Linked DNA regions of Arabidopsis thaliana. The protein of the gene in region 1 interacts with the protein of each later gene in a pairwise test. Each region holds a gene or a part of one and is shown on either strand. Other genes may lie near its edges. The genes, in order: AT4G09060 and ZML1.

Evidence for each region.
Region 2: the proteins of AT4G09060 (region 1) and ZML1 interact in a two-hybrid assay, tested with the Arabidopsis thaliana proteins (2 studies listed by BioGRID).

The regions. Positions count from the first base shown.
Region 1 is NC_003075.7:5,785,187-5,802,255, forward strand, and holds AT4G09060 (uncharacterized protein), read right to left. Parts: upstream 15,145-17,069; 5' UTR 15,068-15,144; coding exon 14,828-15,067; intron 14,740-14,827; coding exon 14,467-14,739; intron 13,887-14,466; coding exon 13,809-13,886; intron 13,279-13,808; coding exon 13,021-13,278; intron 12,952-13,020; coding exon 12,835-12,951; intron 12,733-12,834; coding exon 12,595-12,732; 3' UTR 12,473-12,594; downstream 1-12,472. Other genes in the region: ISA3 (isoamylase 3), read left to right, coding at 1-29, 166-270, 476-580, 746-880, 997-1,083, 1,167-1,218, 1,339-1,402, 1,589-1,688 and 11 more; AGP10 (arabinogalactan protein 10), read left to right, coding at 7,063-7,446; AT4G09040 (RNA-binding (RRM/RBD/RNP motifs) family protein), read right to left, coding at 9,889-10,041, 10,482-10,772, 11,565-11,663, 11,758-12,129.
Region 2 is NC_003074.8:7,416,203-7,433,056, forward strand, and holds ZML1 (ZIM-like 1), read left to right. Parts: upstream 1-5,833; 5' UTR 5,834-6,019; intron 6,020-6,619; 5' UTR 6,620-6,629; coding exon 6,630-6,923; intron 6,924-7,039; coding exon 7,040-7,132; intron 7,133-7,205; coding exon 7,206-7,339; intron 7,340-7,427; coding exon 7,428-7,559; coding exon of another isoform or gene 7,560-7,563; exon of another isoform or gene 7,564-7,930; coding exon 7,931-8,036; intron 8,037-8,163; coding exon 8,164-8,235; intron 8,236-8,333; coding exon 8,334-8,396; 3' UTR 8,397-8,703; downstream 8,704-16,854. Other genes in the region: MNS2 (alpha-mannosidase 2), read right to left, coding at 335-506, 656-721, 1,055-1,167, 1,340-1,501, 1,715-1,762, 1,965-2,126; AT3G21170 (F-box/associated interaction domain protein), read left to right, coding at 3,771-4,958; ACA9 (autoinhibited Ca(2+)-ATPase 9), read left to right, coding at 9,568-9,870, 9,967-10,006, 10,094-10,206, 10,277-10,408, 10,503-10,592, 10,677-10,746, 10,855-10,925, 11,005-11,088 and 24 more; MSR1 (O-fucosyltransferase family protein), read right to left, coding at 16,377-16,655, 16,739-16,854. UniProt on the Arabidopsis thaliana protein: Transcriptional activator that specifically binds 5'-GATA-3' or 5'-GAT-3' motifs within gene promoters.

The DNA.
Region 1 (17,069 bases):
ATGACTACAAGTTTCCTAACATACCTGAGGTAAAAATTGCATTTGTTTCCTTCAGCTAGTTGTTGCACGATTCCGACTTTGAATATGGAATTTGTATTCCTGCAGCATTTATGGTTTCTCCCTTATTTTGTTTCAGTTTTGTAATCAGCTGCTACTGTTTTGCAGAAGGATCTTGTTATTTATGAAATGAATGTTCGTGCTTTTACTGCTGATGAATCCAGTGGGATGGACCCAGCTATAGGAGGCAGTTACCTCGGTTTCATTGAGAAGGTGATTGTATTCTACTTAAAACATATGTGTTGAGATGCTGAAATTACTGCACATTCATGCTTACTGCACAAGGGTTGTTAGCAGGAGTCATTTACCAAAAACGTTAAAAGTGTGAAAAAGCTTATTATGATAGATATTGAGGATACATCTGCCTGTATATGTACAAAGCTTCTTTTATAGCTCACTCTCTTTTTTTTTTCTTAAGATCCCACACCTTCAAGATCTGGGTATAAATGCAGTGGAATTATTGCCAGTGTTTGAGTTTGATGAACTGGAGCTTCAGAGGCGTTCTAACCCTAGGGATCACATGGTAATCACGAATCAGCAATTTACATTTCTGTGTGCTTATAATATTTCTTGCAGGTCTTATCGCAATGGTAGCTATAAAATTCTTCCCTTTTCAATTTAACTTGAGTCTCCATGAATGGAAGTTTCAGTGCTTCCCATACCTGAAAGAGATTTTTCTTTTTACTAGGTTAACACATGGGGTTACTCGACAGTTAACTTTTTTGCTCCGATGAGCCGATATGCTAGTGGTGAGGGAGACCCTATTAAAGCTTCGAAAGAGTTTAAAGAAATGGTCAAAGCCTTGCATTCTGCTGGTATAGAGGTAGCAATTCCCTTGTATTGCTCCGTTTTCTTGGGGTCGATGCAGTTTGTTCCTTGTTGAACTTTTTATTGTAATTGATTATTCTTCAGAAGTATTCTTACAAGTTTTCTCTGCAGGTCATTTTGGACGTAGTTTATAATCACACCAACGAAGCAGATGACAAATACCCTTATACCACTTCATTTCGTGGCATAGACAACAAGGTGAGTCATAAGAGGATTAACATTCATGTCGGTTTATTTATTTTCTTATCTTAAAACTCTAAACAGTGAGATCTATTATGCAGGTTTATTACATGCTTGATCCAAACAACCAACTGCTTAACTTTTCTGGCTGTGGTAATTTAAAGTTTATATTGCAGACTTTACTTTTCAAAAATTCCGTACTTGAAATGAAAGTTTGGTTTACAGTTTGCTGTAGTATGTGTGCTCAACGTTTCTTTTGCTTTCTGTCTCCAGGGAATACACTGAACTGTAACCATCCAGTTGTTATGGAACTCATACTTGATAGCTTAAGGCACTGGTATGGACAAAATCTATGTTAGCAGCCACTGTAACTAATTGGACCAAATATCTTGCAGTTTATCCTGGACATGACACTGATATGAAAGAATTGCTTGTTGATTTTTCTATCTTCTTGACAGTCATTGTGGTTACTTCACATAGTTAATCATTCTGGTTCTGCTTTCTTCTCTTTACTTAACCGCAGGGTCACTGAATATCACGTGGATGGTTTCCGGTTTGATCTTGCTAGTGTGCTTTGCCGAGCAACAGATGGATCTCCACTCAGTGCTCCCCCACTGATAAGGGTAGGTTTTAATGCATTGTGCTTGCATATTCAGAAAATAAAATAGAAAATCTTGTGCCATAATGTTCATTTTGTAATTTCTTATTGAATCAGGCAATTGCCAAGGATTCTGTTCTGTCAAGATGTAAAATAATTGCAGAGCCTTGGGATTGTGGAGGATTATATCTAGTCGGGAAGTTTCCAAATTGGGATAGGTAACCGTTTTAGCTTCATAACTAGCTTAAGTTGATGACTCCCAATAGTACTATACATTGTAGTTCCTTCCAAAGTTCTGTGGTTATTAACTTTGTGTAACTGGTATGGCTACTGGTGGATTTTTCCCAAGTCAGGTGGGCTGAGTGGAATGGGATGTACCGGGATGATGTTAGAAGATTTATCAAGGTATTCAACATTGGAGTCTTTTTCACCTGATCTTTGGAAAGGCATGACTTATTGCAGATGCACTCTAATCTTCCACATTGTTAGGGTGACAGTGGCATGAAAGGAAGCTTTGCTACTCGGGTTTCTGGATCTTCCGATCTTTACCAGGTTATTATATTTTGTATTCATTCTGAACTTTATTCAGTGAACACTTAGATGCATTAACTGCAGTAGAATCCAAGTAGGTTTAATGATATCATCGCACTTTCCCTCTTCTCTTATATAGGTTAACCAGAGGAAGCCTTACCATGGTGTAAATTTTGTGATCGCACATGATGGATTCACATTGCGAGATCTTGTATCGTACAACTTTAAGGTACTTTTTGATTTCCAATGTATTGATTTTAAAACATGAATGAGTCAGCGCTTTATGTATCTCTTCTGTATGATAGCACAATGAGGCCAATGGAGAAGGAGGAAATGATGGATGTAATGACAATCATAGCTGGAACTGTGGTTTTGAAGGTACAATTAAAAGAGTCTCGCTTCACAATATTCAAGCATTGATCGTTTCTCTGTATAATATTCTTATTACAGCATTCAAGTTTAATAATCTGTTTATTGACAGGGGAAACTGGTGATGCTCACATCAAATCTTTACGTACTCGGCAAATGAAGAACTTTCATTTAGCTTTGATGATTTCTCAGGTGCGTATTTGCCAACATACACTCGTTTAAATACTGTCTAAAATTCTAAATGCATATGAAACCGATGGTGATCAATGATCAGGGAACACCAATGATGCTAATGGGAGACGAATATGGACATACACGGTATGGTAACAACAATAGCTACGGACATGATACCTCCCTTAACAATTTCCAGTGGAAAGAGGCAAGTCTTACGCCTCGCGTTTTGTCTTCCCTGTTTACTACGGATTCCTCCATGAACTGAAATCATTTTTTCTTATTAAATCCAGCTCGACGCAAAGAAGCAGAACCATTTCAGGTTTTTCTCGGAGGTGATCAAGTTCCGACATTCACACCATGTACTCAAGCATGAAAATTTCCTCACCCAAGTAACTAACTTCCTCTTGGTTTCATCTATTCCTTGGATTTTTGAGTGCTACTCTAATTTTCAATGATTGTCTAAAGGGTGAGATTACATGGCATGAAGATAATTGGGACAACAGTGAGAGCAAGTTCCTAGCTTTCACGTAAGACACAAAAGTCCCAAAGTTTCTTACCTAACTGTGTTATAGTACTCTACAGAGTTATCAGATTTCAGATTAATAAGTGACTCTTCTTGCAGTCTCCATGACGGTATAGGTGGCCGTGACATCTATGTGGCATTCAACGCCCACGACTACTTTGTCAAGGCTCTGATTCCACAGCCACCACCGGGAAAACAATGGTTCCGTGTGGTCAGTCTTTCTTTCTTTTGTCTTCTTTGGTTCTCTAATTCTATGACTGATTCAATGTCATGTTTCCGCAGGCTGACACAAACCTCGAGTCGCCGGATGATTTTGTGAGGGAAGGTGTGGCCGGTGTGGCTGATACCTACAATGTGGCCCCATTCTCTTCAATCCTTCTCCAGTCCAAGTAAGATAAGCACTCACACGATAACGCACGGTAGAGGAAAAATAAGGTTTATGAGTTATGAGTAAAAAAGATCCATGACTCCATGAGTCTCTTGTAAAAGTTGATTACATGTAAAATAATAAAATGTACGACATTTCCAATCACAAATAAAGATATATTTAGAGCAATGGTACATTTTTTTCTAATCATGGAAATACGAAATATATGTAGTGATATTATTAACTTAATTTTAGTTAAATGTATTATCTATATAATGTAAAAGTGGATAATCTGGCGCGAAGAGTTTTTACCCATCCACATCCTATCAACTATGTCAACAATGTCCTTCAACATTGGCTTATTTGAGTCAATTTAGTATTTTAGTATAAATGTCTGACAAAAATAAAAAAAATCATGTAAAATTTGATAATCTAAATAAATATCATAAATCTTAATGATTTTGGGTTTTACAACCCTTACTTCATAATCGAGTTTAAATAGTCCATAGTATTTGATCTGCAAGATTTAGTACATTTGACATTATCGAAAAACACATTTCAACAGAATTTTGAATTTATTCAAGCTTCAAACCATATCCTCCACAAAATGTGATAAAATTTGTCAAAATTTTTTATATAGGATTTGTTTTTATAACAAATTGTGAATAATAATAAAAGAAGTCACCCCATTTCTGTCTTTCAACTTAAGGTGACTCACCACCTACTTACCACATTGATATTGTCATCTTCGAAGAATCCAAACTATTTTTTCTTCTAATCCAAACCTTTTCTTATTGTTAGTAAACAATTCAAGATCGTTCTAAACTCAAGAGAATCCGAGGTTCCAATTATTGAAACGTTACGTTAAAACGTAAAATAATACTCCAAAAAAATCCATTTTTAAAACGAATAATGAAAAGAGATGCTTCGATCGTAGAGTCAAAAAGTTAAATAAATATAAGAATTTACAAGACGAATGGAAAACACAACCGCGTGTTAGTCACTAATCATAATGATAAGTGAAAGTTTAGGTCACATTAATTAATTTTAAAATTTGATTAATCTTTGAAACCTTTTAATTCACGTGGTTAGGGCAGGCTTTGGCAACAACGCGTAGTTGGTGTTGGGTCGGTGGTCGACGACCTAGCCAAATCCATGGCTCATATTTTTATCTCCATTTGTTTCCATAGTTGTTTTAATGATACGTGTACGTATCACTTATCAGATGAAAATAATTAATTACCTCGACTTTCCTAATCATATCTACGTTTCCACAATAACAGTCTTCAAACAAATCCATTAGAGTATGCAATTTAGGAGTGTCAAAATAAGTCAACATTCATGGATTACTCGAACTCGTCAATAATGTTAATTGGTTTAAGTAAAAATATTTTACCCATATATATAAAGGAGTTTTAATAGATTAAAACTAATAGGATTATAAGTTTAATGGGCAAAACTTATTAGAGTCATGGGTTATCCATAGGTTTTACTGTTTCAAAATTATATTTCAGTATTGATTCTCGTGTTCTTAACAAACAGCGGAGTCGACTTTTTCCTAAGCATGTTCAAGCTTTACTTTGTACTAGATCTCCCAAACCCATCCATTAAACACTCGAATCTATATGAATTTAGGTCGGGTTGGGTCAGATTGGTTTACCCATTTTGACATTTTTAATATGCATGTAAGAAAAGGTTTGGAGCAAGTTGGGTGGTTACGGCTATCAAGTAGTTTACTGAAATTCCAAATTATTTACTTTATCACTTACTTCAGTAGATTTTTTCGTTTAACAACTTACCAATAGCAGAATAATTGACATAGTATTGATAATTGTAGGTGTAAGATATAGACAAAAATATGTTGGCAGGTTTATCAACAACAAAAATTCAATTTCACATTGTAATTTTTTTTTTAATGCAAAACTTTTTGCCAACAAAAATTATGCCCAAAAGAAGGAAAAAAATTATACATAGTGTACATTTCTTGTCGGGAAAAATGTCATTTAATCTCCCAACTTTTAAAAAATGGTCATTTTATATATCAACTTCGTATGTGGCCGTTTAAAACATGAACTAAACGTTGACTAATTTTTAAAACATGATCTTTCGTTGACCAGGCCAAAATAGACATGCCGTTATCAGTCATTAACGGAATTTCTAACGTCCGTTATCATCCGTTAACTTTATTAGTCAAGTTTCAAATTGTGGTCATTTTAAACATCAACTTTTTATGTGGCCATTTAAAACATGAACTAAACGTTGACTACCATTTAAGACATGAAAAATTTGTTGACCAAGCCAAAATAGACATGTCTTTATCAGTAGAACCTAGAAACCGTTAATGACTGTTAATCTGTCCAAAACAACGTCGTTTGAGAATAATCGAAAGAACATAAAGATTTTTCCCATATAAAATCTCCATATCAAAAAGTTTTAAGCAGAACCCATAGTTTGATATAGAGATAATCACAGTGCCAGTAATTGGAAGCAAATAAAAGTGTTTTCGTTTATATATTTGTTTTAAATTTTAAAAGGAATCATGGAAGCAAATTGAAGACTCATTATAAGATTGTTCGTCTTGTTTGAGCGGTTGTAGAAATAGATTTGGGGAACTGGAGTTTCATTTAGAAAACAATCCTGATTTTCTTTTGGTTATTCTCAAAACAAAGTCGTTTTAGGGATACTAATAGAGTCGTTAACAAGTGATAATGAATGTTATAAGTTCTTTTAATGAATGATGACAACATGTTTATTTTGGCTTGGTCATCGAATTTCTCATGTTTTAAATGGTAGTCAACGCTTAGTTCATGTTTAAAATGGCCACATATAAAGTCGATGTTTAAAATGACCACAATTTAAAACTTGACTAATAAAGTCGTTAACGGATGATAACGAACGTTAAAAGTTCCGTTAATGACTGATAGCGGCATGTCTATTTTGGCCTGGTCAACGAATAATCATGTTTTAAAATTTAATCAACGTTTAGTTCATGTTTTAAACGGCCGCATACGAAGTTGATGTATAAAATGGCCATTTTTAAAAAGTTGAGGGATTAATTGACATTTTTTCCATTTCTTGGCTCCTTTTCTCTAACGTACATTTATCAGTTCATCATCCAAAAATTCAAAATTTTCGAACACATGTTTGGATATGAAACAAAATTCGATTTGTCTTTATGTTGCTTTCATATAGAAAAGTGCAAAACTTTGTTAGAGCTCATGTAACTTCTTAATTTTAAAAAACAAAACAAATCAGATCCAAAGTGTAATAAAGAGAAACTCTAGGGACTTCTTTATAAATAAAACAAAAAACATTTACACGTCTTCGTGTAATTTCGAAGAAACATCGATTCTCTTCTCTTATATAAACCCTCTTCGTCTCCTCCTCCTCTCTGCTCGAAACAAGATCCTTCACTTCTCTCAAACTACGAAAACTATGGCTTCAAAATCCGTCGTCGTTTTGCTCTTCCTCGCTCTCATAGCTTCATCAGCCATAGCTCAAGCTCCAGGACCAGCTCCAACAAGATCTCCTCTTCCATCTCCTGCTCAACCTCCAAGAACCGCCGCACCAACTCCTTCAATCACACCAACTCCAACTCCAACACCATCCGCTACTCCCACGGCGGCTCCAGTTTCTCCTCCGGCTGGTTCACCACTTCCCTCCTCCGCTTCACCACCCGCTCCTCCAACTTCTCTCACTCCTGATGGTGCACCTGTCGCTGGTCCGACTGGATCCACTCCCGTCGATAACAACAACGCCGCCACTCTCGCTGCTGGATCTTTAGCCGGATTTGTATTCGTCGCTTCTTTGTTACTGTAATTTGGTTATATTTTAGAATCATCTATTGAGATAGTGTTTTTCTATTTAAGGATTTTTTTGTTCGTGTTATTTTTAATCTTTGGTTTTATGTTGTATTAAGAATTGAGTTAGCGTTTGGACGATAGAATTAAATCATTAATCATATGTGTTTTTTATTATAGTCTTTAGTAAACACTTTCTGGTATATCGTTAGTTTAATCGGTAAAGATTCTATACGAAGTTTAAAGATCGTCGGTTTGTGACGTTTACTACAAAACTAATATTATATGTTTCGGATTTGGGAGGATTACATGTTTTAGTTCAAAAAATTTTGGTATTAAAAAGAAGAAAGAAGAGAAATTCTTATCACTAATGTTTTATTATGGTATTTCAAAGTCCGTATGGATTTGAATTAATTGATTTAGTGAAGCCTTGTGGAATTCGAAATGGGTGGGGTTAAGTGGTTAGTGAAATAGAAGGTGATTAGTGATGACTGATGAGGTCAGCAAACGTGTGCGTGTGTAAAGACACGTGTCGACGTATATAAGAACGGTGAATTTGTCGTTTTATTGGTAGTGGCGAAAAAACAGCTGTTTGGTTTTCTGTCTGATTCTTCATCTCTTTTTTTTACACTTTTATTTGAGCTAAACGATATAAATGAGATTGGATAACGAAGATTGAAAAGTATGTAATATTAACGAGACTAATGGCGTTTAGAATTGAAAAATCGAATTAAAAAAGTCTTTGGTTTGGTGAGAAAGGTAAGAGTAGGTTTTGTCACGTGGAGACAGCTGTAAGAATACATATAAAGCATTTTTCAGGATTCTTTCATTGGCTCAGCCATGTGGGCTTTCCTACGTATTATATTTATAGTAACCATTTTAGGTTAAAGGTGGCGTGACAAAATATTATACTCAATACTATAAGTTACTTAAAATTATGAAAAAGTTTAATTAAATCAATGCGTTTGCTATAAAAGTTAGACGAAGAAGATATACTATCGTTTTTTTGTTAACATAAATCGAAAAGAACTCTCAAGTCTTTTTAGGTTTTTGCACAAAAGGAGGATAAAGAGAAAAAAAGGTAAAAAGAAAGTTGAAGAAATTGTTCCTTTTTAAAGGGAAAGGCTGGAGAGCATTTGCATTCATTAGCTGTGAATTCTGATTCATTTTCATTCCCTCCTTAATATTCCAACTCAACGAAAATGAAAAGTAGCCACAATTTGTCCTTTTTCATATACCAATGTCATTTATTCTTTAGCCATTAATAACCTTTAAAACGTACCACATAAAATTTTATATATAAAGAAAAAGAATGGAAGACAAAGTACAAGAAGCCTTTTTTGAATTAGTACTTTAGTACCAAATGCTCGAGGTGATATCTAACTGAACCATAGTGTTGTTGCCGCGCGAAAAGGACAAAGTCTCAAGCAAGAAATCTAACGGAATGCATGATCTTTATTGGCGACACTTCTGGTATTTTTGTTTCACACTGTTCAGACCTGATTTCTATCTTTAACAATCAAGACGATTGACCGACATTCGCAGTGGAATTAGCTTCCTATCGATCTTTAGTTTGTTTTTTCTCTTTTTTCCATATTAGATTTTTTTCACGTATTTCTAATACTCGAGCAGATTGTTTAGCTAAAAACGCTCAGGCTCGAAATAGTCTTTTTCCCCATATAAGCACATCGGTTCCTAAATGGCTCTCTCTAGCGGATAGTTTCTTCCCGATAACTTAATATAAAAGGTGTGTGGAGAAAAAGAAAAAGAAAGGAGGCAGTTTCAGGTTTTAGTGTTAATCTATCCTAAGAAGCGGTCTAAGGACTTGTAGGTGTTACAATGAAGCCGGAGGATTGTTCCCTCTCCACAGCTTATACAATGTCTTAAATCAAAATTCAAACTAATCCCAAAACCTTTTGTGTTTTGGCTTTTATAAATAGAAACCTAGCTATTAAAGTAATTTTAATTTGCGTTTTACAAATTACTAACATAACTTTCTTAAGAGTACGGGTTCATATATGAAGTTACACACTAAGCATATAACAAACGCAAACAAGTAATCGAAAGTAGATGACAAACAAAGAAGCATTGTGTTTAACTGAACAAAGCAAGTTTCGTAGGAGCCACATGAGTTTGTTTCTTGAGATTTGATCTGGTCTGATACTGACGTTTGGTAATACCTGTCTCTTACTAGTTTTCAGTTCTAACAAAATCGGTCTTGTACTTCTTACCTCTCCACCATTTACTCAAGGTAGGTACTACTTGTATGTACCCACTCCTCTTGTTGGTCAAAAACTAAGAAGAATAAAGACCTAAAAGCTCGAAGCTTCTTCGTCAATTCCAATATCTCCAACAATGATCCTGCAACGAAGACTAAGTATATATACGGATTCGATTAATTCAGAGTTTAAAGTTGATGATACAACAGAGCCAGGATTAAGCTTTTACTACCTTCTAAGTTTTATGCAGCCGGAGTTTCGTGCTCTTGGGTCATTGTCTCAGACTGAGATGGTTCCTCCTCTGCTTCCTCCTCTGGTGGCTGCAACCCTTCTTTTGCTTGCAACTTCACAAACTGTTTGCTTTTAGCTAATCGGATTGGCCTTCCCAAAAAATCCTGCGTATGTTCATTTCACACAGTCAATTCCACCAACTTAATCAGCTCATATTCTAGAGCTGGTATTAGAAACATGTCATAAATCTTTCTGTTCTACAATTCTGGGATTATGGTCCATATACTCTTAAAGTGTCTAGTATCTACCCACATAATGGCTCAGAGAAACCCATTTATATTTTTGTCTCATTGATGCATTAAGAGTCTAAAGACTAGAAAAATCGGTTTACGGGTCCATCTATGGTCCCTAAGCTCAAATGGTATCAGCAACATACCCAAATAAACCAAAACATAAACACTCTCTTGTATTTTTTATTCCATTCAATAACTATATCAGACGGTAATAATGAGCTTCAACTTTGCTCAAAATTAACATAACTGATAAGCCTAGAATGCTTTAAATTATGATTAGATCATTATCATTTAGAATAGCTTGGATTTACCTTTCCTTGGAACTCAATAAGCGCTGCCTCGGCCTGTTTCTTGGTTTTGAAAGAGACAAACCCGTAACCACTCGACCTCCTTGGATTTTCATGGAATATAACTTCAGTGGAGACAACATTACCAGTGTCTGCATCAAAGAACTCCTTAAGATGCTTGGCCCTTGCTTCAAATGCCAAGTTTGCAACAAACAAATTGAATGTAGGCACTGGTGAAGGCGTCTCACGCGGCGCATATGTCTTCTTCTTTTTGGTCTTTGCATAGTCTACCTTCAAACGACGACCCTCATATTCCTAAACAACAATACACAATTAAATGGCAGATGAAAATCAAAGAAAGACCAGGTACAAAAAAAACACAAATCAATCAAATTGGGATGCTGCAACATGAAAAGGTCTATTAACACAATGTACAGCAGCTGCTAATCTAAAAGACAGATAAAAATGAGACAAGCACAGCAAAATCTCAACAATTATATGCCAATTTAGACATAAAAGAAGCGATGAATGCAATATTCTTACATAGGATTCAAGAGATATGAAAGCTGTAGAAGCTTCTTCAGGGGAAGCCATTTCAATGAAAACCAAACCTAATAGAACTACAACTTCTACTAACGTATGATACGATTGGTGTACTACCACTACAACATCTTCTAACATAAAGGCAAATAGAATGAGACAAACACAACCAAATGAGAGCATCGACCGAAAAACAACAAAGTCAATCAGACTAAGTAAGAGAAAATTTTGCTCCATCAAGTTTTAGGCCAGAAAAATCTATTGTTTACACGGGATACTGCAACCTGAAAGAGTCTAATAACATAATGTACACTTCCACTACTCATAAAGTAATGTAAATGAGAGAAATATCTCAATGATTCTGTGCTAACTTAGAGATGGAGGAAGCGAATTGCAATGTTCTTACATACAATAATCAATCAAATTGAGATAACTGCAACATAAAAGAGCCCAATAAGCACAATGTATAACTTCTACTAATCGTAAAGCCAGATAATATGAAACATAACGCAACCAAATCTCAATGATAGTATTCCAATATAGACATGTAGGAAGCGTTGTACTTACACACGATTCAAGAGATTTAAGAGCTGTTGCAGCTTCTTCAGGAGAAGCCATTTCAATGAACACCAAACCTCTATTTCTTTCCTTCTTATGCATAGACATCTACAAATCAAAAATCAAACACAATTCGTTAAACCAAAACACAAAAGATTCAATTCATCGATTTCAAAAGAAGGAAACGAGAAAAACCAAAAACCTCAATGTCGATAACACTCCCGTACTTCTCGAACAACGATCTAATATCTTCAGGTGTAGATGTCCATGGAACATTCTGAGCAATCAATCTGGTTTTAGAAATCTCTTCTTCTACTACCTCAGGAGCTGAAGAAGAAGAAGAAGAAGATTCGAGGACTGGCTCTTGTGTTGTGGTGGAGAAGTACGAAGTGAGGTTTCTGGATTTTGCTGGAATTGAGTCTGGAAACGTCGCGTGACGATGGAGACGACATAGTGAAGGAGTAGATAAAGAGAGAGAGTGATTGGTGAAGGCAACATTGGGATTAGGGTTCTTCTGGTTTGATTTGTGACCTAGAATTTGGAGGGAAATGCCAGGAAGACGAAGAAGAGCCATGACTGAGAGAGTTTTGGATAAGAAGAAGAAATCGAAAAGCAACGCAATTTCACATTTATTGTGTTGGAATAGACTAACGACGTCGTTCTTAGTTTTAAAACGACGTGTTTCATGATTCTCACTGTTTGTTGTAGAAGCAATGACGTCGTTTAGAAAATGTACTTGAAAACGACAACGTTTGTATAAATTTCACTGTTCTTGTAGACGCAACGACGTCGTTGTAGGTTACCGAAAACGGTTGCGTTTTTGTAAGAAATGTTAAACACCAGTGTTTAGTAAGCTATGTCAGTTTTACACTGCTGTTGTATATAATAAGCTAGTTATTTACCAGTTTGAAAACATGATTTTCTGGTCAAATTTGTTCATAGCAATACTGATACATGTTGTTAGTAGCTTCAGAGAAGCAACAATATAATCCGGTTTCACATATGAATGATACAGATAGTTGTTTGATTTTGTTTATCATCAATTGTTGTTCATCTTAGAATCTGGTGAGTTATTCCATACAGGTGATAGAGGCTTCCTGCTAATTTCTGGACTGCTAAACTCAAGCCTCTTCTCGACCGGGCTACTCATCGTCTTCGGACTCTTTCTCTTGTTTGACTGCAAACAGAACAACACTCCTAAGTTAGAATCAAAGAGAGAGTCCACATAGCTGCTTTTTCCTTCGCAGTGTTTACTTCTTTCTTTTTGTGGTACTTTTACCTTTGCAGATGCGCTGTTTCGGTTCTTGTCTGCGGAGCAAAGAGGGCTTTGTTGTTGCCTTAGCAACTTACGATTTTCTTTATCCAGCTTTCGGTTTAGCGTGCTCACAAGTTCCACCTGTAAAAAGTTTGTGAGTCAAGTGGAATCATTTAAGAACAATAGAGTGTTATCGTTTATGATTATTACCTCTTGCTCAGCTTTAGCGAGATTCATGATGATGCATTCTTTTTCCTTTTCGAATTTCTTTGCCTTTGAAACTAAAGAAAGAACCTTTTGCGTTGAAGGCTTTAAGTGATCCCACTTGCTCAGCAAGGCTTGGCACGATTGGTCGTGGATGTTTGCCTCCAAGAAGAGACGCCCCATTATAGTTTCATCTTTGCTTATGAGTGATCCCAAAACTGAATCAAGCAAATCTTCTTCTAACGGTGTAGTACAGTTTTCAACCTTTAGAGAGAAATGAAAATACAGACTTCTGTCAGAACACAAAGATACTATGTTTCCAGCTGAAATGATGAAAAGTAGCAACTAATAGATACATCTTCTGACTAATGTTGACACTAACAGATCTTTCTAATCTTCATTTGTTTGATAAAATATGCTACATCTCAAGGATACAGAAAGATAAATCATGGATGGAACAAGCAATCTCTCAAGCATCATAGACAATCAAACACTTATCAACAGCCTTTATCCACCTCAAGCTATCAAAAACGCCTAACAATACTGTATATATGAATAATATGAAAAACCCATTTGATATATCAGAAGAATCCAAAGTTTTATTACCCTCAGAAAGCAAAACGATATGGACTGACAATTATAAAAACCAGAAACATAATGTGGACTACCATTAGAGTCTCTCTATTAAGTGCATCTACTGGATAATATCAACAATTGTAAGACTTTCTGCAAAGGAACACAACATGGATACTTATGAAATGATAATACAGAGTTCTGTCAGACCACAAAGAAACTATATTGAAATGATTATAAGTAGCAGCTAATAGATACATTTTCTTACTAATGTTGACTCTAACAGATCTTTCTAATTTCTATTTGTTTGATAAATATGCACCTCGTATTAGTACCATTAAACATTGGATGGAACAAGCAATCTCTGAAGCACATAGACAACCAAAAACTTATCAACTACCTTTATCCACCTCAGGCTATTGAAAACAACTAACAATAGAGGATATATGACAAACCCATTTGATATCCACCTCAAGTTATCACCTTCAGCGAGAAAAGCGATATGGAAGGACATTTTATATTTCATAGTACTAAGAGAAACTTAATGTGGACTAGCATAGTCTCTCTCTCAAGTGCATCATATCTACCATTCTATGACTTTTCTGCAAAGAGACTCAATGAGAAGTCAAACTTCATGAGAACTTAGATAAATCAAGTTGTCAACTTAACAAAGAAAACCAAATGATGGTACCCCATGTGCTAATTAAAGAGTAGAGAGAAGACAATAGCACTTGAGTAACCATTTCATCAAGAACAAGCTAACCAAACTATAAACCAGCAAGTGCAAAAAGCAAACTAATTTACTCGAGGGCAATGCAATTCTAAACCCAACTTAACCCAATTAAAGAAAATTTAGGGTTAATATGAAGAAACTCTTACTTCACCATCTCCGATTTGACGCTTAAATCTCTGCATTTCCTCAGACATTCTTCCAATTTCATCCTCCAATTCACGAACCCTAGCTTCTGCTTCTCTAGCTCTCTCATCAGATTCATTCCCAAACTCCATCAACGCATCACGATCTTGATGATAAAGCAAACACTCTTTCTCCAATTTCTTACACTGACTCAACAAATTCCCACACTCACTAGCCAATTTCTGATTCTCTTCAACAAACTTCTTCAACGCTTGCGCATTCATACTCGCTTCAGACTTATAAAAAAAAAAAAAAAAAAAAAGATTCAGATTCAAATCAATCAAATCCCAGAAAACGAAAGATACCCAGAAAGAAATTACTAACCCTAACACGATCGATTACATGATCTTTCTCCTTTAATCGCGAAATCAGACCCTGATACTGTTCGCGAAGACGGCGTTGAGATTCTTCAGCCGTATAAAGCTTCTTCTGAAGAGATTCCATGGAGATCGGAAGACCTAAAGAATGATCAATTGTATCTTTGATATATTCTTCGACTTCTTGCGAGAGATTTGTTCTCGATTTTGTTTCTGCTTCATCTGAATCAATTCTCTCGCTCCGCATGGTTTACTCTTGAAACAAGATTTGGATTTCAAGAAGAGAATTTAGGGTTTCAATAGGAAGAAGAAGAAAGGGGAATTAGTAAAAGAGACGGAAGAGAAGAATTTCAAAAATGAAATCAGAAGTTTGTAGCCGTTACAAAAGTTATTGCATCGATCGATTCGTGCCTACGTGGCATGTTTTAAGTGGCGGAAATATTTGGCTCCTAATGCAATTTTTTGGTTATGGTTTTTGGGATCCGGTTTGGTTTATTTTGTCGGTTTTACTTGTGGAAAACTTTTTTTTTTCTCTGTTCGGTTTGACACAATTCGGTTTTTGTTCGAGTTGGTTTTTTATTTCGGTTTTGTTTTTGTTTAAAAACGTATTTTAAATATCAACAAAAAGTGATTACCTAAAATTACAATTTAATGTCATTATATCAAACAAATAATTATCAACTAAGTAATTATTTTTCCTCTATTTTCAGCTCAATTTTTTTTATTGGTTTATTTTTATTTTTTCATCTTGACTAGTATTAAGCAAAAGCGTATCATTCAATTATATAATTGTATCAATTTCCAATTTATTTCTATATAAATTTTTCATTTTTTGAGTGTACTAGGATAAAAAAAAATTATATCATTGGGTGGAATGAAACCTTAATGTTTCATGACTATGCATAAAAAATGAACGAAAGATGAGAAGAAACATGAATCAAACCTTTATTTTTATTTAGATGATTAGATGAGATATATACATTAGGAATTTTGATTCGTTCAGTTAATTTTGTTCAGTTTCATAAAATTTAAATTTGATTTAAGGTTCAGTTCCAATAATTCTATTTATAAGATTTTAAACTATTAGTATTATTCGAATTTGGATAAGTTCGGTTAGATTCATTCATGTTTTCACCACTCATTTCCTAAGAAAACCTTTTTAAAAACAAGGTCATTTTAAGAAACACATAATTTTACACGAAGTCGTTTTAAATGAGGTAGTTTAAACGAGGTCGTTTTATCTTAGTAAAACAAACAAACTCCTATGCTTTTCTCTATATAATGCAGTGTACGAGTCTTAATTTTTCGTTATACTACGTATTCCCAAGAAGATCATCACCAGAAATCTCTTTCATCGGTAAGTGTTTCTCGCAATCTAATCTTGTATTTTGTTTTTATGGCTCGATGATTATTAAGCCTAAAAGTCTTTACTATGCCTTCAACTCATCTTTTTAAAATGATTTAGATAAGATAAAGATAAAAAGCATCGTTTTATAAACTAAATATACTTAGAAGCAGAATTGAGTTGTTTATCCGAGATGTATGAATTTTATATTTAGATTGTATTCAAGAAGTGATATATTTCATATTTGATTCGTTTAGTTAATCTGTTGTCGATCTACTACTATCACAGAACGTGTGATCCCAAACGGATACTCATAGCAGATCTAATGAATTTCTTTAGTTTTTGTAAAAAAATGTTTCTTATTTTTCAATTAATTTTGGTAAATAATTTAATTATAACATTAATTTCTTAGATTTGTTTCCTTTTTATTTAAAGTCAAAAGTTACTTTATTTTTTTCTTATAAGAATTTATATTTTCTTCCCTTTTATCTTGATAAGGGTGAGTACACTTATGTAATTGTGCACATGCACTAAAATATCTAATTATTCTCTATGTTATAATTATTTATTAAAAAATGAAATTTGTATTATGATTCCAAAGTTGATGCATATGTATTATTTTTGGTCTGTAAATTACTTTTAAAAATAAATTTTCCTTTCCATATAGACCACGTTCTATTTCAAATGAAAGAAATGATTAAAAAAATGAACTCCATTTGAGCATTTAAATGTATTTTCCTTATGAACACTGATTGAAATTCTATCAAAAAGTATTTTTTGATTAAATAATTTTTTGCTTTATTGTAAAGTTTTATCATTTTGTTTTTTGGTAAATTATATATCTGAATACAACTATATTATATAAGATATTATTGTTTGTGTATTATTGTAAATTAATAGAGAT
Region 2 (16,854 bases), on another chromosome or scaffold:
GATAAAGAATCTTTACTTTCATCATGATCTTTACAACTAAACTCTAAAACAGTGTAGACACAAACAGAATACTAATTGTCACATAACTTGAAAAACAGAACAGTTCGTTCCTGGCGAGCCCTGAAACATCTAAGAAAACGACTGGAACTTAAATCTCAATTTTTCAGTGGCCTCTTAGGAGCTCCTTTAGAAACATGTTCAGGACCCTAGTGGCGACTATCTCGATAAAGTTTTGCACGCATATGAAAATCTGGGCGAGAAAAGAAGAGAAAATGTATATCCAATGCCTAAAGCTTTGAAAAGATCGACAAGGAATATGACAGATAGGACTTACCCCCGCCCATGTAGGATTGTGAGCATTTCCATGCTTCAAGTTGATAATATTATATGGTATACCCGATTGAGTGTCCCATGCAGGCAATAATCTGTCTGCAATATCCATAGCCTTTTCAAGGAAAATTTTATCCCCAGAAAGATCATACGCACTGAGAAGCCCTCCTACCACTCTGAAAGCCAACAAAGAGAAAATATATAAGCACAGATGCCACACTTCCATACCACATATTTTGTTAACTACACACAACAGATAACCTAAACAAGATGACTCTTCTTAGTACATGTAGAAAAAAAACATGGTAAACCTGTTAAATGCAACCTTATGGTTGTCTCAAACATACTGGCAGCATAATCCTTGTCGAAATCTAATGAGCTTGCTACCCACCTGAAAATGAAAGACAATAAGTAAATGAAGGCTGGGAAAGATGAACAGGAAAAGTTGGGAATCGAACTTCAGTTAATGGAGAAGAAAACAATATTATTTATAGGAGGTTGCAGTTTTAGCCAGAAATATTTAATGTTTTCTATATAATCTTGAAACAGTTTAAAAGTGAACATTGCACAACAGATACATTACAAAGACGATTCAATAGCCTTTTCCATTTCATTTTCTTCACTACTTATATTTTTCTCAATAAGATGAGACAAGCCTGTTTAGAACAAGTCAAGCCAGAAAGAATCTTCCTAAAAAAGGCTAGGATGGAAGAAATCTACTCACTCTCTGGCTTTCTGAAACTGCTCATCTAGACCCATTATATATAGTGTGTCTAATGCATCTATCATAGTTGCACCCAGGCCACCAAAGCTGTCAACACCATCCTTTGTCTGGGGCTGATAATGCAAAAAAAAAAGTTACACAAATAGCTTCACAGAAATATATTTATCGCAAGTAGAAAGTGTTCTCATTTTAACTAGTTAAACAACCCAATTATTCTCTGAACAATGGTGAACGTTAACATAAGCTGTCAGCATTGTAGCTAACCATACAAAGATAAAACTGTACCTGAAGCTCATCTTGTCCCCAGGCATACTTTTCATATGAACTCCAAGCATGAACCATTGCCTCTTTAACTCTCTGCATTCGCTGAGCATCAACTGGATCTTCCTGAACATCCTTCAAACTATTGACAGACACATCCTCAGTGACGCTCTTTATCTCTTCCAACTAGCAGAAAACACAACAAAATTTAAGATCATTATAAAAAATCTCATAACTTTCTCAAGATTTAAAAACTCATAGTAAATCAAATTCTTGCAAGACCACGAGACGCGTAATGCCACATCAATATCAGCCACTGTGTAATTAAGCAAATGCAAAAAAAGGAGGAAACTTTGGGTATAATCAAAGCCTCATAGGGAAAAGAAATAAATAACTTACCATCTGCTGCAACCGCAAAACTTCTTCATTTAACTTGGAAACTTCAAACTGCAAAAAGTCAGCATACATTATAAACACACATATGTGAAAGAAAAATCCTATCTTCACATAACACAGAGACTCTCCTTTATCCAAAGATTGAATTTTGATTTCCTCTACAGCCCAGTATAAACAATTTCATAAAGTCTAGACCTTTAGCTGCCTACTTTAACAGATTCGATTAGCGCCTCTCATCAATTCAATAACGTACCTGGTAGTCTCGGGAAAGAGATTGACGATCCCAAACAACCATTGAAACAGAGACGAAGAGGATGATGAGCAAAGCAAGACGTCTTGGTCTTCGGAGATAAAACGCTGGGTTGAAATATTTCCATATCCCATGACTACCACTTACAAGTTTATTCCTCGCCATCTCAATTCCGACGATCAGATCTGATCTCGGAGGTGACAAATTTTTGAAAAAGGAGAAGAAGAAGAAATTGAAACCATGAATTAAAAAGAGAGGAAGAGATCGGATCAGAGTAAAGAGAGGGAATGATCCGGTTTAAATCAGTTGGTTTGGGTTTGGTTGGTTATTGGTTTTGGATTTTGGTTTACTTAAAAGGAAAAAGTGAAAAACAAAAAGTAATTTATTGTTTTAGAAGAGGCCCAAATTTAATCTAGGACGAAGCCCACAGTAAAAGCATGCGTTGTGACGTCACATGAATGAGAATAAGTTTTAGGTCCAAGAACTTCCATCCCAAGTTATCTGAAAACATGCTTTTAGAGATGATGAAGAACAGAAGAAGGGAAACATTGTACATCTTCCGGACCGGAGGATTTGGTTGTGGAGATACTCACTAGGGTTCCGGTGGTATCTCTGAAACAATTGCGATCAACACCCAAAGGGTGGAACGCTCTTATCAAAGATGGACTCTGCTTAGACACAACGGCAGTCTCCTCTGGTTATCAAGTTGATTGATTATAGGGTTTAATTAGTGAGTCTCGATCTCCATGGAATTGTGACAAGGTGTCTTGGAGAAGGCAAAAAGGTAAGTACCAGACCAGAGCTAGTGTCTTGAAACAGTTGAAAGTCACAACAAATAGTTGTGTAATGTTGGTTTTCTTTTGTGAAGGAAGCATACATATTTCTTTTATAACACCATGACCAGTGAAACACTTGGTGGGTCTATGAATGATCCTAATTATCACATTGGCTTTGCGTCTTTTGTGTAATTTGATATGGTTATAGAGTTGCATGTCACATAGGTTTCATTGACTCGGAAGATGATATTTTCTGGATAGGTTTTGGTTCCTGGCCTCATTTACATTTTGATCAAAAATCTTGGTTTTCAAGGATATACTAGTTTGTAAAATTTCATAAGGCCAATTTTATTTTACAAGTGCCTTGGGACTATAGGTAGATAGATTCAGGTACATTAGCAAATGCAAAATGAGAATTGATTTATCAAACTTTTAGTGAAATACACATTTTAATTTATTAGTCTATTAAATATGTAAGTATGATGACTTCATGAAAAATTAAAGGAGTAGGGCAGAGATATATAATGTTCAAAGATATAACCCCACAAGTCAATTATTACTTAGAAGCATTTTGAGTTATACAATAGAAATATATTAAGTATATATATGATCTTCCCATATTTATTGAGTAAGTAAAAAGAAAAAAAATGATCTTCCCATATTTATATAAAATTATTTACATTTAATTTTAATTGAATATGCTTTTAATGTTACAAAATTATAACCACAGAAATAGAAAAAATTAATAATGATAAATAAATGTTGAGAAAAAAGAAAGATAGTAAGAATTAAATTTAGGAAAAAAAGAAGTTAAAAATCTGTGTGGACAAAAAGAAAAAATCTCCATATTTATTAGTGTAAAGGATAAAATAAAAGACAATTACGTGATCTCCTCCTTCCTATATATATAAATGATCTTCCCATATTTATAGAGTAAATCAAAGAAAAAAAAAGAAGAAGATTAAAAATCTTGATTCTATCGTCTCTCCATCTTGATTCTTTGAAAATTGGTTTAATCACAGTCGTGTGAGAGATGATGACGTTCAACGACCTTCCGGAGGATTTGGTAGTGGAGATACTCTCTAGAGTTCCGGCTGTATTTCTAGCACGATTACGATCAACATCCAAACGATGGAACACTTTGATCAAAGATGGGAAACTTTCTAAGAAGCACTCTTCTAATGCTCCAAGGCACTCTATGGCTCTCGTGTTGATTGATCATAAGGTTTATTCAGTGAGATCCAATCTCCGTGGAATTCACAATAGCGTTGCTCCATATGTTAACATAACATGTCATTTTAGCCTAAAAGAACATCTTTCTAATAATTATTCAACAGAAGTCGATATAGGCCACGTCTTTCACTGCGATGGCTTATTGCTATGCACCACCAAGGACTATAGACTGGTGGTTTGGAATCCGCTTTCAGGTGAAACAAGGTGGATTCAACCAAGATTTTGCTACAAGAAAGATGACTGCTATGCTCTCGGTAGATCCTCTTGCAACAAGTACAAAATCTTGAGGCAGGGTCGTCTTATCAATCCTAGCGAAGAACGTTACGTGTACAACATCGTGGGGGAGGATCTTGTTATCAACAATAGCCAAGAACGTTACGAGTACGAAATCTATGACTTTAACTCTAATTCGTGGAGGAGTATTGGTGTGATCACCGGCTTGTTCAATCCAAATATCACCAGTGGCGTGTCTGTAAATGGAATCACTTACTGGTTTGATATTAGTGAACAATTCTTACTAAGTTTTGATTTCTCAACAGAGAGATTTGGAAGTGAGTCTCTCCCAGAGGGTGATAGTCATTTGGCTTTATCAGTGACTAGACAAGGGAAACGACTTTGTATGTTATCTACTAATTACACATACGTAACCGGAACAAACGTTAACTTATGGATAGCAACGAAGACTAGTGAGAACACCAGAGCAATGTCATGGAGCAAGTTCCCAATACTGCGGGGCGGAGTTGGTCTACGCTATCGTTGTCATTTTAGGGAAGGGGTGAGTTTCTTCGCATACCAAGTTAAGGAGAAGATTGTTGTAGTTTCTTGTCATAGACCCAACCGGCACTCCAAGGACATCATACACATTGTGGAAAATGATAAATTCATAGAATTGGATCATCATGGTGCAAAACCTACACATGAATTATCTCCTACCCCACGTCTCCTCATATATGTTCCAAGTTTGGTTCAAATTCAACATGGTATTTAGTTCTTTGGAGGAGGCACCAAGTCAGCCAGTGCATGGCCTTGTAATTGTCACACTAGTCTATGCATTATCTAATCTAACTCTTGATATTTTATAAGTAAGATATATGTACGCATTTCTAAGTTATAACTTGTTGCTACCCTTTTGCTAGTGGATAATTCGAGGCACATGGCATTTTCATAATTGGTCAATTAGTTATTAAGTACCAAAATTTTGAAAAGGAAAAAAATTAGAAATGCTTAGAACATATTAGAGCAAAACATATGTAAATTTTGTGCAAGAATAAGGGAAAAGCAAATAAAATCAAAATAAAATTGTATATTGTGGAATTAAGAAATGAAAGAGGAACGCAATTTAGTTTTAAAATCTGACATATTAGATATAGTTGAGTCAATTGTTTTCCACCGAAGAATTGGTTGTGGTTCCATCTAACTTAAGATATTTTGTGTTAAGATGGTTTATTTGTAGAGATATATTATAATTATATATGATTTCTAACCAAAACAACAAGAAGTTTTTAAAGATGGGTACAAATTGAATTAACTAATGTAATTCCACATTGTCATTTGGTAAAAGAAAGATATCTTGACAAAAGAGATTAAAAGAATTATGTGAAAAACCTTGGCGACCTTAAACCATCTCCAATGTCTTTATATCTTTGGCATCATTAAGAGTAAATGTGTATCTTGATCAAACCTGAAACCACTAAAGAAAAACATATGAACTCAAATAGAGGCCAATTAAAGATGAGGTCCAAAGAATAGGGAGTGTCAAGCCTTTCACAAAGACGACGCCGTTTGGCTAAAAAAGGCCCAAGATCACAACGACGACGTTTGCTGAAGAAAAATGAAAAATCTTTCACTACAATCATTAGACCAAAAAAGAAAAAAAAAATCAAAGGAGCTTCCTTTTTTCGCTCTCGTCTCCGTTTACCCTTTTGGGATTTTTCCCTAAACCTTTTTCTCTCTTTGTATAATCAAATCCTCTTTATCTTTCATTGTTTCGCGTGAATTAGCTCTGCAAAGGCTCTTCATTCTTCTCGCTTGGATTCCTCTGCACAAAAGGTACCCATTTGATGTCAATTTTGGTTTATTGTTTTGATTGCCCTGTCCAAGTGACAAGTCTTTGTATGTATGATATAGGTAGTGGGTTCTAGTTTGTAGATGAACTTGTCGAATTTGGAGGGTTTTTAGTTGGAAGCATTTATATGTGGGATTTGGAATTGTTCTGTCTATTTGTTCTTAGCTTAAAGGTTGGGACTTAGCTTAGGACTTATGAGCATGAGAGAAGGAGACTTTTTTTCCAATTCGAATCTGATTGATGAAACTTTTTTTACTGGATTTGGGTAGATATTGTTACGTTTTAAGGTAGTTGACTGTTGTTAGTTGTTGTTTACTCGAGATTAGATTATTGTCATCTACTCTTGTTATAAAAGAAGCTCCTTTGTACTATATCAGTGCTGATAACTATTAATGAAGTTCCTTTCCCTTAGGTGGAGATAGTTTCTTTGTATTTGCAAACTCAATTTATGTGAGAATATATCCACCATTATTGAGTTTCTTCAACCTATACCGTCTCTGACAATCTCGCTTTTTCGTTATTAAGAACGTTCCAGTCTTAATTAATGTTATCTTCCTTTGGATGTAATTGGTAACAAATTGCAGAAAAAAGACCATGGATGATCTTCATGGAAGAAATGGTCGAATGCACATTGGTGTAGCGCAAAATCCAATGCATGTGCAGTATGAAGATCACGGTTTGCACCATATCGACAATGAAAACAGTATGATGGATGACCATGCTGATGGTGGGATGGATGAAGGAGTGGAGACAGACATTCCTTCTCACCCTGGAAACTCAGCTGATAATCGTGGTGAAGTTGTAGACCGTGGAATTGAAAATGGAGATCAATTGACATTGTCCTTCCAGGGACAAGTTTATGTTTTTGACCGTGTCTCGCCTGAGAAGGTAACTTTAAGTTAATTTTGGTTCTTTGATGTTTTAGTTTTGGATACATATGGTCAACGTATCCACCTGGTTGGTTTTGTTTTTCGCTTATTGAAGTGCTGCTCAATATTATGCAGGTTCAAGCTGTGCTTTTGTTACTTGGTGGAAGGGAAGTACCACATACACTCCCAACAACCCTAGGATCACCTCATCAGAACAATAGGGTACTGGTAATAAAAGATTTAATACCATATGGGAAATCAGTTTATTCCCCAGTTTGTTGCTGACTAATAAATGAACCAGGGTCTATCTGGTACTCCTCAACGGCTTAGCGTTCCGCAGCGGTTAGCTTCTTTGCTCAGGTTTAGGGAGAAACGAAAAGGGAGGAACTTTGATAAGACTATTCGCTATACAGTCAGGAAAGAAGTAGCCTTGAGGTACGTTTATGTCAAGTACTAGCTTTTGTGTATGTCGAGCTTTTGAGATACGTCTGTTTTGCAATTAAGGTTTTGTTTGTTCATGCAGAATGCAGCGTAAGAAAGGTCAGTTCACGTCGGCTAAATCAAGCAATGATGATTCTGGATCCACTGGATCGGATTGGGGGTCAAACCAGAGCTGGGCCGTAGAAGGGACTGAGACTCAGAAGCCAGAGGTTTTGTAAGTTGAAAATGCTTTAAATTTCTTACAACAGTTATATTAACTTTAGTGAACTCGTTATAAAACCTCAATTAAGTCTAATACATGGAAACAATTTATTTGGTAACCATTTAATGACGCTCTTTTCACTTCCATAAACTTTGTCTATATACGTCAACTCTGAAATTTATAGTTATACTTATCATGATGGCATCACTCATTCGATACCTGCAACTGATAACTTATACTTGTGAGAGGATAAAAATAACTGAACCGACTATGTTGTTGCATGTTAAGTCATTGTAGTTGATATGAACTTATTTATAGCTTGGTATACTTGGAAAGCTTGTCTCTGTTCTTATTCTTCGTCAAATGGTTGTGAACATGTTAAGATGTCGACACTGTGGAACAAGTGAGAAGTCAACTCCAATGATGCGACGTGGACCTGATGGGCCAAGAACACTTTGTAATGCGTGTGGACTGATGTGGGCAAACAAGGTAAGCTAAGAGTTTCTTAGTTCACATTGATCACCTCGTCTCGTATCACTTTTTTGACTCATTGATCAGGCCTATATATCCGAGTATGAACCTAACAATAACATTCCCTTTGACTTTATAATATCAGGGGACTCTTAGAGACCTATCCAAAGTCCCTCCTCCGCAAACACCTCAGCATCTATCTCTGAATAAGAATGAGGTGAGCCGTGAGCGCAGTATTTCATAGAGCTGGAGTTTTGATTTGCTTATTAAGAGAACATACATTCATTTTTTTTTTCTCAATCACTTTTGTTGCAGGACGCAAATCTTGAGGCTGATCAAATGATGGAAGTAACTGGTGACATTAGCAACACACAGTGAGAACTGAGAAACCATTGGAAGCAAGAAAGGATCTCAAACAAAAACAGTTGTTATCATTTCATTTGATGATGGAATCGAATCTGAGTTGTGTTTAGGGTTTCTCTGGGTTAATCTCAGTCTATGTGGGCACATTTTAGTCTTCTACAAATTATAAGACACTCTTCACTTATTTAGAAGCTCACTCATCAGAAAAGAAAAAAAAAACTTTGCTCAGTCTCTCATCTGTGTGTTTGATTATATTTTCAGGCAGAAAACTTTTTTTTGTTCTTGTATTTGATTACAATTAGTTAAATATTTAAGACTTAGTAGAGATAATGCAATCTATGTATAAAAATAGAAACAATGATTGGTTATGTCGTGCAACCCAAGTGACCTTAATGTCGTACACACGTTCATCAGGTTAAAACGAAATTTCTCAGCAACTTCACTATTCTCTCTGTCACATTGTTTTATTCTTTTCCATTATCTTTATTGGAAACTTGATTAGAAAGAACTGATTAAGGTATGAAGATAATTAGTGTACCATTCTTCACATGATACGAGGTGAACAATAGTATATCAGAATACTAGAATAATTTTATAAGTTATAAAGATGAATGGTATACCACTTATTACAAAACGAAAACATAGTTAGATCTGAGAAGAAGGAAAGATTTTTGTTTTAAAAAATGAGATGGTTAGATATATGCCATGTTAAGAGATGCCACCATGTTCTTCTTCTTCTTCTTACCCGGAAAAAACTCTTTCTTCTTCTCTTTCCCATAAAAAGAAACAAAAAAAAACTAACTTCCCACAAATTTTGCCAAACCAAACCAAAAATAGTAATGATCTCATTCAATTTGAACCCTCTCTCCATTTTCTTTCATAGTTTTTTTTTAGGGTAAATCAAAATATTAATGTTGGTTAGAAACTCAAAAATTAGTTTCTCTTTTTTTTCTCTGTGATTGACAGAGAGGTAAGAGAAAAAAAAGAGAGAAAGTGTTTCGGTTTTTGTTGCCTTCTCTCGAGTTAGGCCTTCTCTCTTCCGTCACACCATCATTTTTTTTCTCCATAACGACCAAATCATAAAACCGGTCGTTCCTATTTTTTCTTTCTCTGCGTTTTTTGTTTCGAATTCTTCAATAGAATTTTAAAAGAAAGAAGAAAGCTGGGTGAGACGAAGGAAGGAAGAATGAGCACTTCGTCGAGCAACGGATTGCTTCTGACGTCAATGTCAGGACGTCATGACGACATGGAAGCTGGTTCTGCTAAAACTGAAGAACATTCTGATCATGAAGAGCTTCAACATGATCCTGATGATCCTTTTGATATTGATAACACCAAGAACGCTTCTGTTGAATCTCTTCGTCGTTGGAGACAAGCCGCTCTTGTGTTGAACGCATCGCGTCGGTTTCGATACACTTTGGATCTTAATAAAGAAGAACATTATGATAATCGAAGGAGGATGATCAGAGCTCATGCTCAAGTCATTAGGGTATGTATTTTCTTTATATAATTCTTCCTATCATTTCAACAACAATGTTGTTTGTTTAATTGAATCTCACATCGATAAATCACTTTTATGAATCAGGCAGCATTGCTTTTTAAACTGGCTGGTGAACAACAAATTGGTATGATCTCTTATAAGTCAAGCAAATCTCTGTTTTGTTTTCTGGTTTCTTGTTGAATAATCTTTAGTTTCTTTTGGTATCAATTAGCGTTTGGATCATCAACACCAGCAGCTTCTACTGGTAACTTTGACATTGATCTTGAAAAGCTTGTGTCTATGACAAGGAACCAGAACATGTCCAATTTGCAGCAATATGGAGGGGTATGATTCAAGACTCACACATTCCATAAATAGGAAGGTTTCTTGATGCTGACATTAATATATCTTTCAGGTCAAAGGTGTTGCAGAGAAGTTGAAGTCAAATATGGAACAAGGAATCAATGAGGATGAGAAAGAGGTGATAGATAGGAAGAATGCTTTTGGATCTAACACTTACCCAAAAAAGAAGGGGAAAAACTTTTTTGTAAGCAAAGAGTCTTTTACAACTTCTTCGACCGTGTTTTTATCGGTTTGTGGATACTCATATGTTTTTTTTCAACTTTCTGTTTGTCCAAAAGATGTTCCTCTGGGAAGCTTGGCAAGATTTAACTCTCATCATCTTGATCATAGCGGCTGTAACATCATTGGCATTGGGAATAAAGACAGAGGTATACATGCTTTCCTTTCGATAAGTTCTTAGTTTTTCGAAATCAGGAATGTACTAATTTTCTGTCTTATTACTTCATGATCAGGGTTTGAAAGAAGGTTGGCTTGATGGTGGAAGCATTGCCTTTGCGGTTTTGCTTGTCATTGTTGTTACAGGTATATACATGTTTCTTTCTGTGATAAATTCTTGAAAACATTCTCAATCTTGCTCTTAATCCATTTAAGATAAATCTTTCTTTACACTTTATCTTTTGATTGTTTCAGCTGTTAGTGACTATCGCCAATCTCTCCAGTTTCAAAACCTCAACGATGAAAAAAGAAATATACAACTAGAGGTGCTTGCTTTAACATCTTAGTTTGTTTTGCAATTACATGTTTTTGAGCTGAAGATTAAATAAACGAAAACTCTTACAGGTCATGAGAGGAGGGAGAACAGTGAAGATATCAATCTATGACGTTGTTGTCGGAGATGTTATACCTCTTAGGATAGGTGACCAGGTAGGTATACTTTGTCTTTATATTCCATCTAATGGCTTCAGAGTTAAATGACTATATGGCCTTATTTATTGTTGTATTCATATAGGTCCCTGCGGATGGAGTGCTAATTAGTGGTCATTCTCTTGCTATTGATGAATCTAGCATGACCGGTGAAAGCAAGATTGTGAGTTCATTATGGTTCTGCTTGTGCAATTTTTATGGTCATCTTCCCTTTCTATTTGCTAACACAGACCTTTGTTTGCAGGTTCACAAGGATCAAAAATCCCCTTTTCTAATGTCTGGCTGTAAAGTAGCTGACGGAGTCGGTAACATGCTGGTAAATCTTTGAAACTTTTGTCCTGTTCTTAGTTCTGTTTTCACATAGTTGTTCATACTTCCTAGTAGTTATTCTTTGTGAGTGTTTCAATAGGTTACTGGTGTTGGAATCAACACTGAGTGGGGATTGTTGATGGCAAGTATCTCAGAAGATACTGGTGAAGAAACTCCATTGCAGGTATATCATCTTGATCACTTAAGGTCTCCACAATGTGTTGAAGAAGGCTAACATTTCCTTTTGGTAATCTTGTAACAGGTGAGGTTAAATGGTCTTGCAACCTTCATAGGGATAGTGGGGCTCTCAGTGGCTCTTGTTGTCCTGGTGGCTCTTCTTGTGAGGTAATTTCATTTACCTTGGTCAATAAATCTCTTGGCTTACAAATTCATGCCATGTTGAGGGCTATAACCATTGAGTTTTTTCAGATATTTTACCGGAACTACTCAAGATACTAATGGAGCGACCCAGTTTATCAAAGGGACGACTAGTATCAGTGACATTGTAGATGATTGTGTAAAGATATTTACAATCGCCGTAAGTATTAGTTCCATATTTTTGATTATGTTATTCGATAGACATATCAGTTAACTCTGGCATTTGTTTAGGTGACAATTGTGGTTGTAGCAGTGCCTGAGGGACTTCCCCTAGCAGTTACCCTCACGTAAGTCGTACTTGATATAATCCACTCAGAAGATAACTAATTATCTACGTTTCAGGTGTTGATATACTTTTTCTTGACACCATATTTGCAGTTTGGCTTACTCAATGCGAAAGATGATGGCAGACAAAGCTTTGGTAAGAATCAGAAGGAGTGTTCTCGCTTTAGTTCTTTCTTCTTGGTTATTGTCTGACCATTTTTCTCAAATGCCAAACAGGTTAGAAGGCTTTCAGCTTGTGAAACCATGGGATCAGCAACAACAATCTGCAGTGACAAAACTGGAACTTTAACTTTGAATCAGGTTAGTATCCAGTAAAATGTGAGCTTCTTGACATGAAAACCATCATACCCTTCTAGATAGCTAACTTTACCCCTCACAAAAATACAGATGACTGTGGTTGAAACTTATGCTGGAGGATCAAAGATGGATGTAGCAGACAACCCTTCCGGTCTCCACCCTAAACTTGTTGCCTTAATAAGTGAGGGTGTTGCACAAAACACAACAGGAAACATTTTTCATCCCAAGGTAGTTTTTGTTACTCTGCTATTGTTGAACCTTCCTATGGATTTTCAAAGAGGAACAATGTTACTCTAAGCTCATCATGTTATCATGTAGTTATCAAATGATTGATGTTTAGTTGTCATGTTTGTTTTACTATAGGATGGTGGAGAGGTGGAGATTTCTGGATCTCCCACAGAGAAGGCTATTCTGTCTTGGGCTTATAAGGTATCAAATGTTTGTTTACCCTGGTCCATCTTTGACATATTCTTCCTCTGTATGAGCAATATATTTAAAGAAGTTGTTGTTGCAGTTGGGGATGAAGTTTGATACCATCAGGTCGGAGTCTGCTATCATCCATGCCTTCCCTTTCAATTCAGAGAAAAAGCGTGGTGGTGTTGCTGTGCTTCGAGTAATTTCTTTATCCTTTCTCCAATTTCAAAATACATAACCTTTTTTACTTTGGAGTCATTACAGTTAGCGGCTGCTTCAGTTAACCGCTATGTTCTGCTGAATTTTCAGTAACTAAACACATAAACATCTTCTCGTGAAGCTGATTATGTGTATGTTAATTCACTGCAGGGTGATTCTGAAGTTTTCATTCACTGGAAGGGAGCAGCAGAGATAGTTTTGGCTTGCTGTACACAATACATGGACTCAAATGGTACTCTGCAGTCCATTGAGAGCCAAAAGGTGAAGTGACAAAAAGAGTTTGAAATCAGAAAAATGGTGTTAAATTTTCACTTAGACATTCTCTGTTAGCCTAGGAAGACCAATTTTGTGACTATACTATGCATTTTCATCTCAAATTTCAAAACCATTTGTGTCTGCAAATTGTTTTACAGGAATTTTTCAGAGTTGCTATCGATAGCATGGCGAAAAATAGCTTGCGATGTGTTGCTATTGCATGCAGAACACAAGAGCTGAACCAAGTTCCCAAGGAACAAGAGGACTTGGATAAATGGGCTTTACCTGAAGATGAACTCATTTTGCTTGCTATCGTTGGCATAAAGGTAGGTATTCTGAAAAGTTTTGGTTTGTTTTATGTGTTCACTATGTGACGATTTTGCTCTCTTCCAAAATTTAAACCTATTGTTCTTTTGGTAACTTCTTTTGGTAACTTGTTACGCAATCTAGGATCCTTGTCGTCCCGGTGTCAGAGAAGCAGTGAGAATCTGTACCAGTGCTGGTGTTAAGGTAGACTCCTAGCCTCTTCGAAGTTTACAGTTATGCTTTCTAGTTTTCTATAGAGATTACATGAAATGATCATCTTGTTCATGATATAGGTACGAATGGTGACTGGTGACAATCTTCAAACAGCAAAAGCAATTGCTTTGGAGTGTGGTATACTTTCTTCAGATACAGAAGCTGTTGAGCCTACTATCATCGAAGGAAAAGTGTTCCGTGAGCTATCTGAGAAAGAGAGAGAACAAGTAGCCAAGAAAATAACGGTATGAAAATTAAACAGCCAAGGATCATATATACGACTTGGCGGCTGCTTGCTTTTTCAAACATTAACTTAGGTTGTGAAATGCAGGTGATGGGTAGGTCATCTCCTAACGACAAGCTCTTACTTGTTCAAGCACTACGGAAAAATGGAGATGTTGTTGCAGTCACTGGTGATGGTACTAATGATGCTCCTGCCCTCCATGAGGTTCTCTAACAATTCTACAGGTTATGTATTATGTGTTGTGTGTCATCTCCAAATCTGATTTTTCTTTTGTTGCTTTGGACTATAGGCAGATATAGGTCTCTCTATGGGTATATCAGGAACTGAAGTTGCAAAAGAGAGTTCTGACATCATTATTTTGGATGACAATTTTGCTTCAGTAGTAAAGGTTAGTCTACTACATCAAATATAGAAACATGTGATCTTCTACATTATCCTTCATCTTTATGCTTTTCTAATCAATAAACTCTGTTTACTCTTCCAGGTTGTTCGTTGGGGCCGTTCTGTGTATGCTAACATTCAGAAATTCATACAATTCCAGCTTACTGTGAATGTTGCCGCACTTATAATCAATGTTGTAGCAGCAATGTCTTCTGGTGACGTCCCTCTAAAGGCTGTACAGGTTAGTACCTTGATGCTTATTTGAATGGTTGAACTTTTAAGACAAGGATAAAAGATATAATGGTGTTCTTTGATGCAGCTGCTTTGGGTCAACCTTATCATGGATACTCTTGGAGCACTTGCACTAGCTACAGAGCCACCAACCGATCATCTTATGCATAGAACCCCTGTTGGAAGAAGGTATAAACATGTTGCACATGATGTTTTCCTCATACTTTTAGTGAAACAGAATAGTTATATTGTGGTTTCAGTCGTATGGTTCGTGATGGTTTGTTTCTTGATTTGCAGGGAACCTCTTATAACAAACATCATGTGGAGGAACTTGCTTGTTCAGGTGACTTGCTCAAAAACCAACTTGATTAATTATTTTACCAAATAATTTTACTAGCTTGCATGTGTCTGAAAATGAAATCTGGGGATGTTGCAGTCATTCTATCAAGTGGCTGTTCTCCTAGTTCTCAACTTTGCAGGCTTAAGCATTCTTGGCTTGAACCATGAAAACCATGCACATGCTGTGGAAGTGAAGAACACTATGATATTCAATGCCTTTGTCATGTGTCAAGTAAGCAAATCATCTCTTCTTTCATCTATATAGTCTTAAAAGATATGGAGTTGTTTTTAATCTTGCAAGTCTTCCAGATATTCAACGAGTTCAACGCAAGAAAACCTGATGAAATGAATGTATTCCGGGGAGTAAATAAGAACCCTCTCTTCGTAGCAATTGTTGGAGTCACTTTTATACTTCAGGTAAGACAATAACACAAAGCCACTTTAACCTTTTTCCTCTTTCTTGAGACTATGATAGTAAAATGCTTCTGGTTGAAAAATGCAGATCATCATCGTTACTTTCCTCGGAAAGTTTGCTCACACCGTTAGACTGGGATGGCAGTTATGGCTTGCTTCTATAATCATTGGATTGGTCAGGTTGGTCCAGTTTCTCCAAACTTAGTTCTCAGTGCTTATGACACATGTATGAATGAACAATTTGTTTACTTGCTCTGCAGCTGGCCACTAGCAATTGTTGGGAAACTGATCCCTGTACCCAAGACACCGATGAGCGTCTACTTCAAGAAACCGTTCCGTAAATACAAAGCTTCAAGAAATGCATAAAACATACAACTAGGTTCTCAGCCTTCCTCATACAGAAGCAATAACAGATATAACCTGTGACAATGGCCTAAACCTCTAACCTTTCTTTCTATCTTTTTTAAAAATGGTAAAAGTATTTTCAAATGTATACTGCAATGAGATCCAATTCTTTTGTCCCTTTTCATATTTCTTCTTTTTGTATGATGTAAAAGTGCAACTGTGAATTGAATTGGATTTGTGGTTGTACTAACGAGAGTTTGGCTCAGTCATGGTTGGTTACAAAAGTGTTGTTGTATCTACATGGAGGATTCTCTGTGTGATATCACTATATTTGAGTTAACAATGGTTTTAGAGAAAAGAATGATCACATCTTGTCATAGTTCACATGGTTCTTCCTTCAATAGAAACCCTCAACACTAAAATCAATCTTACAAACAATATATGTGTTTCTTACTATAGAGCAAAATTTATAGAATGCAAAAGCTATGAGCCAACAGATTCAAACTGTAAACCTCACTGCCCAAAAAAACCAACTTATATTGAAACAAACTTACAAATTAAAAACAAGAAAAATAATTAAATTGCTTACACTTGATGAAAACTGAGAAGGCCCTTCCATGGAAGTATGCGTGGAGATTACTTTAGAAATGCGAGAAGGTCAGCAAAAGCATGAATAAGCCAAATGGTTCTTCTTTGAGATGTATGGAGAGATGAAATCTGTAGCAAGGCCAGATGTCTCTGAGATTTCTGCTGGAACTAACACTTGAGGCTTACCTAAAGCTATCCTTTTGCCAACGGTGTTTGCATAAAACAGACCGGAGATGGCTGGAACAAAGACATCGCTTCTTGAGCTTATGTAGAAGTCGATAACATTTTCGTACTCGGAACTCACTGATTCAAGGTACTTTGATCTCTTACTTGCCGGCATTATTGCCTCCTGCCATAGTTAAGTGACAAATCAAGATTAGCAACATGGTCAAAACTTTCTTGGACTGAAGAATGTTTTCTGATCTTACTCACCTTAGTGAATGTTTTTGGGAAGATATCCTTAAGGATATTGAGGCTACTGTCCCATCTTGGCTGAGTCAGATAGATAGTTGTGTCGCTGGCAAATCCAAGCTTTCTCAAGAATAAAG